Linked DNA regions of Nothobranchius furzeri. Each later gene encodes a partner of the first gene's protein in a complex. Links are inferred from orthologs where the notes say so. Each region holds a gene or a part of one and is shown on either strand. Other genes may lie near its edges.

Region 1 (3,818 bases):
TTACAGAAAAACAGGCAATCACAGTAAAAATGCCAGGGCTCATTCTACAAGACCAGGGCATTGCAGGAGAATGTATGAAGAAGACATTTATTATTTCTATACATGTTTTGGCTGTCAAACGTCCATAATGTCCCTTTAATAAACCTTTACGTCGCTGTAAAAGAAGCAGCCTGGAGTGTTTAACTGTTCGGTGAATTTGAGGTTCTGTGTTGAGTTTACAAACTCAGTTTTTACACAAATGTTTGTGGAAATCAAAATGGCTCCTCAGTCCTGAGATCTGTTTCTCTGAACAGAGGCCGATCGGAGGAGCTTTCTACAACATTTAAGAAAAATATTTTTCCTCACACATAAAACACGTTGATGGCCAAAGTCTCCCTTTAGAAAGTATGATGTAATGTGCTTTTGGTGTTATAATGGTTGTATTTATAATGGATGTGCGACTCACCTGTCTGCAGGTGTTTCTGTGGGGTTAAACCTCCATGTTTGTATTGTGCTTGTTTATATTTGGCTCGGTGTTCTTTGTGCAGCAGGACGTGGCCAGACTCTATTACTAAAGTAGCCGCTAATTAGATTCTTCTCTTTCTTCTTGTTCCAGACTGAGCGATGAGGTTCCTTCAGTGAGGCAGACCGCCGTGACAGTTCTTACTCAGCTGGTGCTTAAGGATGTGCTCAAGGTCAAAGGTCAAGTCAGCGAGGTCGCTGTGCTGTTAATTGACCCGGAGGTGCACATCAGCAGCCTGGCTCTGAACTTCTTCAATGAGCTGTCCTCAAAGGTGCCCCCCCACCACCACCACACACACACACACACACACACAGAAAATAGTCATTTGAAGGGTTTTTGACGTTGCTCTTTCCGTTCCCGTCAGGACAATGCCATCTACAACTTGCTCCCAGACATCATCAGCCGCCTGTCTGATCCAGAGAGGGGCATGAGCTCGGAGGACTTCAACACCATCATGAAGTGAGTCTCGCAGCTGCTCGGAGTTCGTTTACGCCCTAATCAAAGTAACGTTTGTCCTTGTGTTTTTTCCAGACAGCTGTTTTCCTACATCACTAAAGAGAGGCAGACGGAGTCTCTGGTAGAGAAACTCTGTCAGCGCTTCAGGACTGCAACGTGAGTGCATCTGTTCCCTCGTCTCGGACCCGCATATTCGTTTTTCTTCCCAGCAGCTTTGCGTCTAAATTGTGAGCTTTTGTTGCAGCGTTTCATTATGGGGCGGCTGTGTGGGTAATTAGTGGGCGCTCTCACTCACAGAAGAGAGCGAATCAAGTTCAGCTCACCTGTCACCTGCACTGCTGTCTCATTCACTCTGTCATGGAAACGCTCTTCTGGTTGAGTTTGTGCAGCGAATGGGCCGGCCAGACTTCAGCCTCTGACTCATTCTTCATCCACACACGGAGCTCAAAGCAAGGGCATTTTAAATTATAGTATGGCAAAGTGAATTTAGTCATAAGAGGATCCTGGGAAATGAGATTTGGTCCAAATGTCACAGCAATGCCATGTTTATGAGTAATGAGCTTTTTTAAGTTATTTGGCTCTGGGATGTCCGCCTTTCGTTGCTGCTAATCGGGTTTGTTTTCAAATCCCTCAAACTCTCCTTTGATGTTCTCCTCAGGACGGAGCGACAGTGGTGCGACTTGGCCATCTCTCTGTCTCTGCTGTCCATGTGTGAGCGCGGGTTTAAGAGACTGCAGGAGAGCTGGGAGTGTTACAGCGACAAGCTGACCGAACCTGGAGTCTACCAGCCCCTCCTGTCCATCACCGGCAAGCTCCGCCGTGGAGCCAAGCCTCAGTTTAAGGTACCGGCGCTCGTTCTTAGGTCAGTCGTGTGCAAAAGGCCAGGACAGGACTTTTATTTATGATCAAATCTTTCAGGCTCAGGTTGATGATTTTGAGAAGCGGCTGACGGCGGTTCACACTCGAGGTTTGGAGAACGTGGAAAGTCCTGAGATGGACGAGGAGAACCAAAAGGCAGAAGGATCCACTAAGAGGATGGTGGCGTGTACGCCTCGGCCCACCAGAGGTCGTCAGAAATCCAAAAGGGGTCAGAGTTCACCTCATGTAACTTTTTTCACAAATGATGTTTAGTGATGAATTATTTTAGTTTATTTTCCTCTTGGTTTTATTGCAGGCCAATCAAAGTCCTCCATTTCCGGCTGCGACGACGACGCGTTCGTAACGCCTCGACAGTCTCGAAAGTCCAGGAAACCTGCGGTTACCTTCAGCAGTGATGAAGAGGAGGACGAAGGCACGCGTTTTCTATTTTTAAATGAAAATAAATCTCTACATTTATTTAAAAATGTAAATTTGTTTTAATCCAAACCTTCTCAAAAGTGTCACCCCAACACCTGGAATCAGTGACGAAGGTTCGCTCTAGTTATTAAATACAAACCAAAGACCGCTGGCTCAAATTAGACGAAGGCAAATCTTTGTTTGTGTTTTTAAAAACAACAAAGCGGATGTGTTCCTGAGCTGTTGTCACCTAATTAACCGAGCTCAGACTCGGTTAATTAGGTGATGTTAAAGCGTGTAAAGTGTTTTATTACTTTGAAACAAATTCTCAGATCAGTAAATCTGATTATTTAGGCCAGTCTTGGGATTCAAAGAGAATTTTAGATTAATATTTTTGGAATCGGAAAAGGGTAGAACGCCTTCTCGGGTCAGGGACGAGGTCCTGTCTTGTTCACGAGTGAGGGAAAGATGGAGCAGGAGATCGACAGGCAGCTTGGTGCTGCGTCTGCAGCGATGCGGGCGTTGTACGGATCTGTTGTAGTGAAGAGGGAGCTGAGCCAGAAGGCGAAACGAGAACGTGGATACAAGCGGCCGGAATGAGCTTTCTCCACAGGGTGGCTGGGCTCTCCCTTAGAGAGAGGTTCAGAAGCTCAGTCATCCGGGAGGGGCTCGGAGTAGACCTGCTGCTCCTCCACATCGAGAGGAGCCAGTTGAGGTGGCTCGGGCGTCTGGTTAGGATGCCTCCCTGGTGAGGTTTTTCCAGGCATGTCCAACCGGAAGGAGACCTAAAGGAAGACCCAGGAAGCGCTGGAGAGACTATGTCTCTCAGCTGGCATGGGAACGCCTTGGGATTTCCTTGGAGGAGCTGGGCCAAGTGACTGGGGAGAGGGGAATCTGGACCTCTCAGCCCCTGCGACCTGACTCCAGATAGAAGCGGCTGAAAATGGATGGATTTTTATTATTTTTTACCTGAGTTCTGATAAAGTGAGCGGAGCATGACCGCGGCACTAATCCTGGACCTGTAGATGGATTTGACGGAAAACACCTCAGCTGGAACATCAAACACGGCTAACTTTAACAAAAGGGTTTTAAAGGTTTATGTGACGTTTCAGCGATTCTTCAATACTTTTAAAATGACGTCTGTTCGAAAAGAACTTTTCTTCTGTTATTTAGTAATTATTTTTATTTTGCAAATGGTGCACATTTAGTTTTTGTTGAATGTTACCAGTTAACCAGAATGTATGGCAGCCAAATTAGTCCTAATGTGTAAAAAAAAAAAATCAATGGAAAAGGCTGGAAACAAAACAAAAAAGTGCACAAGTTACTTTAAAAATGGGGCTTTAAAGGTACAATATGTAAGAATTTAAATAATCCCAGAACTATCTAACAGTCATGTTGGAAGGAACGTTACATTGAAATGGATTTCCTTCTCAGCCGGCTGGGAGGTTGCCAGTTTTTCCTCCTCCCTAAAAGTCTAAAGAGGGACATAGTCTTTGTTGATAATCTGTGAGCCGACGGGGTTGTAGAGTCTGTGCCGAGCTAACGCTGCTGCACCGGCATTTGTAATTCTTCACCGGCTGGCAAA
Region 2 (3,818 bases), on another chromosome or scaffold:
AAAGCAGACAAAACTGTAAACATCTTTACATAATCAGACACATCGTAATAAAAGGATTTGAACCAAGAAACATTCCTGTTCTCCACTTCAGCTCAGATAGTGTGCAGATCTGGGATCATTAATCTAAATTTCAATGAGCTTAAAGATAATACTTTATATTTGTTTAATAAACGATAACCATCCACAGCAGTTAAACTAGAAGCTTTTGATCAAAATGGTATCGAGAAAAAAAATCCCAGAAGCGTCGGCTTCTTTACGCTTTTCTTCAAACCGACCAACAAACCTTTATTAATATTTCTGCTTCATTTCTCCCTGATTTGTATTGTTTTTGTTCAAAAATAATAAAAAATGTCATCATTTTCACAACAAAAGTGGTTTGAAGAAATCTGGTTAGAAACTCAACAGACTAAGAACGGCACAAACGTTATTTTTTCCTCCTCGAGTTTCTTTTTGGCCCAAAACAAGCTAACACTGCTGCTATCGCTAGTGCAGCTAATGTTACATTTATTAATGCTACAGATTTTGGGGAAAAATGTTGCTTTTTATTTTTTGTGTGTCTCAGTGCCTTTGATCGGTGTTGCTGCGGGGTTATTTATACCAGAGTGACATCACTTATCTAGTAGAAATCCGTCACAGCAAGTGGAAATGAAACCACTGAGCATTTTAAAGGCCAACACACCTTTTTTCTGTCTTTTTCCAGCTGCTTCTGCAGAGTCTTATTCTTGCTCTTGGAGTGTTTGATCTTCTCACGCACTTCAACATCCTGCAGGTCCAGCTGGGTGAACTTTTCCTTCTGGGTCTCAATGTACTTGTTGATCTCATTTTGTTTTCTGAAGGGAAAAAACAACATTTTACTGAGTAAGCCGAATCAAACCCCTCTAAATTATTTATGAAACATAACTATTTAAAACCAAAAAGATGTTCGAGTTAAAAAAGCAAATATTCTAGATTTTAAAGAACATTTCTGTTCAGTTAACTGATAAGTTACTTATAAAGGTAATGAGTCAAAACAGAAAACTATAAAAAATATTAAAGAGCAAGTCACCCCCACCAGAGTCTTACTCCACTCCCACTTCCTGTTTGACAAATGCAACAAATGCTGTTGCCTAGCAGACCGAGAGGGCGGAGCCGCTAACAAATACACACACACACACAGGCTCACAACAGCATTGTGACATCATAATGTATCAGTTAACATCATAGCATTCTTCTTAAGGTTGGTTTATGCTTGACGCGTCCGCTAGGTTTTCACGGCTCCGCGCGGAAAGCTGCGTCATTTTGACAACCACGCCCCTCCACCGCACCTCTGCACGGCCCAAACTTTCCGCACCGCGCAACCAGGAATTTTTCTAACCACGCGGACGGTTGGACGCAGAAAAACATGGCGGACTGGCAAGAACTAGTATGGCAGAGGTTTGTAAATACAGACATTTGTATGATTCAGCTCTCAGAGATCACCGTGATCAACAGGTTAATAATTCTTGGAGAGAAATAGCTCGCACTGTCGGAAAAGACGAGGACGCTGTTAAAAAATGCTGGAATGCCATGTTGTAAACAACAGTCATTTCTACTTCTACTATGGTGTAGTGTTGGATGCATGCCGTAGAGCTCCATGCTGCCCCCTACAGTTTGGGAGAATATTGTCTCACCGCAGAGACAAGCCGCATGAACCATAAACACTGCAAGTTGTGAAGCGCGTTCCATCCGCGAGCCGCATCACCAAGCGGAAAGTGAATGCGTCAAGCATAAACCAAGCTTTAGCCAATAGCTGTGGCAGATTTAAATTAAAATACAGTGCAGAGGTTTTACCTGACGACAGCGCAACACTGACAGTTATAGGCTGAATATTTAAATTTTAACTAAGATGCACTGAAGTGCCAAATTACTGAATACACGCGTCTACAGCACGATTAGACACTCGTTTAAATAGTTTATCAGCAAAAAAAGTAGATTTGGGGGTGACTTGCTCTTTAAAGAACATCTTTTTGGGAGTAACTTTCAAAAAAACATATTTACATTTAAGCAAAACTTAAATTATCCTCAACACCACATTAGGAGCAGGTAACAACCACGACCCAACCTAATCCAATAAAACTTTATTCATCTCGACAGGTAACGTGATTAAAAACGATTCAAATGACAAAAATTACTTAATTAGCAGGAAATCAAAAATTTTTTAGTAGTTAGAAACAGCAGAAGGTAGGGCTGCTCGATTATGGCAAAAATAATAATCACGATTTTAGTGACTGAAATTGAGATCACGATTATTTAGGACGATTTTTCAATTTATGATGATTTTATTTGTTTTTATTCAGTCATAAAATTGCTCAGGGCACAATTAGGACAAAAATAAGAAACAAGATGATCACTAAAATAACTCCTGATTCCCAGTATAAAAAGACCAATATACTTATAGCTCATAGTCTATGACCCAAGGGCTATAGACCTTGGTTTAACTCATTTAAGTCTAACTAGTACAGACCCAAATACCAATATCTTGCAAATACTGACAGCAAGAATTATACAGTGGCATTTATAACAAATAAATGCAAATAAATTGATGTTCACAAAATGTTGCATAACATTTATTTAGTCATGTCAAGGTGCTGTAGGAGCGTGCACTAGCACCGTGTCCTCAGAGAGATTAGTTATTATTTATCAGCGTGAGGAACTTATTTCTACCTTATTTATAAACTATTTACAGGTCGATCAGTTAATGTAATAATTGTCTCAACCACAGCTGCACCCCCCACCCCCCAAACCGGTCTCACAGCAATCGGGCAAGCTGCACGTGTGTTTAGCACGCTGCACGCGCACATTTAGCTGTTTTTAGCTGCTCAGGAGTCCGCAGGTGCGATGTGTGTGTCACTCACTCTGGTTAATCCAACAAGGAGCCGGCTCCGAGAGCTGTCTTTAGCGACCGACACATCACTACATCATTCCCTTTCCTAATGTTGTGAAGAACGGTCCGGAGCTCAGGCGGAGTGTTTAGCTAACCTGCAGGAAATGTCGACGACCGTTATCCAGAAAGTAGCTAAGGGTTACCAGAGATGTTTCTGAGATGTTCGCTAGGTACTTTTAGGATTAAAAAGTCAAGAAGGGGGTCTGAAAAGCTGCTAGAAATAGCGTCAAAGTCGCCAAGTTGGCAACACTGTGGAGGAGCGCTTCATTTGCAACTCAGGGCAGCGCAAGCGGGAGGAGCAAATAATCGGCTTGTTTTGTTTTTTATAATCGTTCAAAACTCAGATCGTAATCGTGATTAAAATTCGATTAATTGAGCAGCCCTAGCAGAAGGAAACCTTAGACTTCTTACTTCTCGACATTTTTCAGCTCTTGATTCATATTTTCCATCTCTTGAGCTATCTTAGCCGTTTTCTCTGGGAGTTCCTTGGTGTCGTCCAGGATCTTCTGCTTCTCCTGCTCTTTCTCCACAACATGCTTGTGCAGATCATGACTAACGTCAGAGAAAAATGTTCAAAACACACAGAAAAAGTCAATTAAATAAACCACTAAAGCATCACAGAAGAATGCAATGATGACTTTGTGAAGCTATGTTGGATCCGAGTGTGAACTACGAGTACTTATCCTGTGGTAATGGAGTACTCACACGTAGTACTGGTACAGCCGACTCTTGTGTTTGAAGATATCATTCTCCAGGTTTAGGAACTCCACAGCTTTGTTCTTTTCTCCTTCCAAAGCATTTTTTTCCTTTTCCACCAGCTTTACTCGGTTTAGCTGAAACAATAAAAACATGAGTGATTGATATTGGGTCGCTTTGCTTTAGCCTGGGATGAAGCTAAATAAAACAGGAAGCAGAA

The links.
Region 2: ncapd2 (region 1) and smc4 share a complex: the UniProt entries of both Homo sapiens proteins name them as parts of the condensin complex. The link is inferred for Nothobranchius furzeri from reciprocal best matches to the Homo sapiens genes NCAPD2 and SMC4.

Annotation. Positions count from the first base shown.
Region 1 is NC_091745.1:73,760,578-73,764,395, forward strand, and holds part of ncapd2 (condensin complex subunit 1), read left to right. Parts: intron 1-595; coding exon 596-773; intron 774-866; coding exon 867-961; intron 962-1,033; coding exon 1,034-1,114; intron 1,115-1,616; coding exon 1,617-1,800; intron 1,801-1,876; coding exon 1,877-2,045; intron 2,046-2,132; coding exon 2,133-2,249; intron 2,250-3,818. UniProt on the Homo sapiens protein: Regulatory subunit of the condensin complex, a complex required for conversion of interphase chromatin into mitotic-like condense chromosomes.
Region 2 is NC_091753.1:52,610,701-52,614,518, reverse strand, and holds part of smc4 (structural maintenance of chromosomes protein 4), read right to left. Parts: intron 3,736-3,818; coding exon 3,608-3,735; intron 3,455-3,607; coding exon 3,314-3,454; intron 831-3,313; coding exon 680-830; intron 1-679. UniProt on the Homo sapiens protein: Central component of the condensin complex, a complex required for conversion of interphase chromatin into mitotic-like condense chromosomes.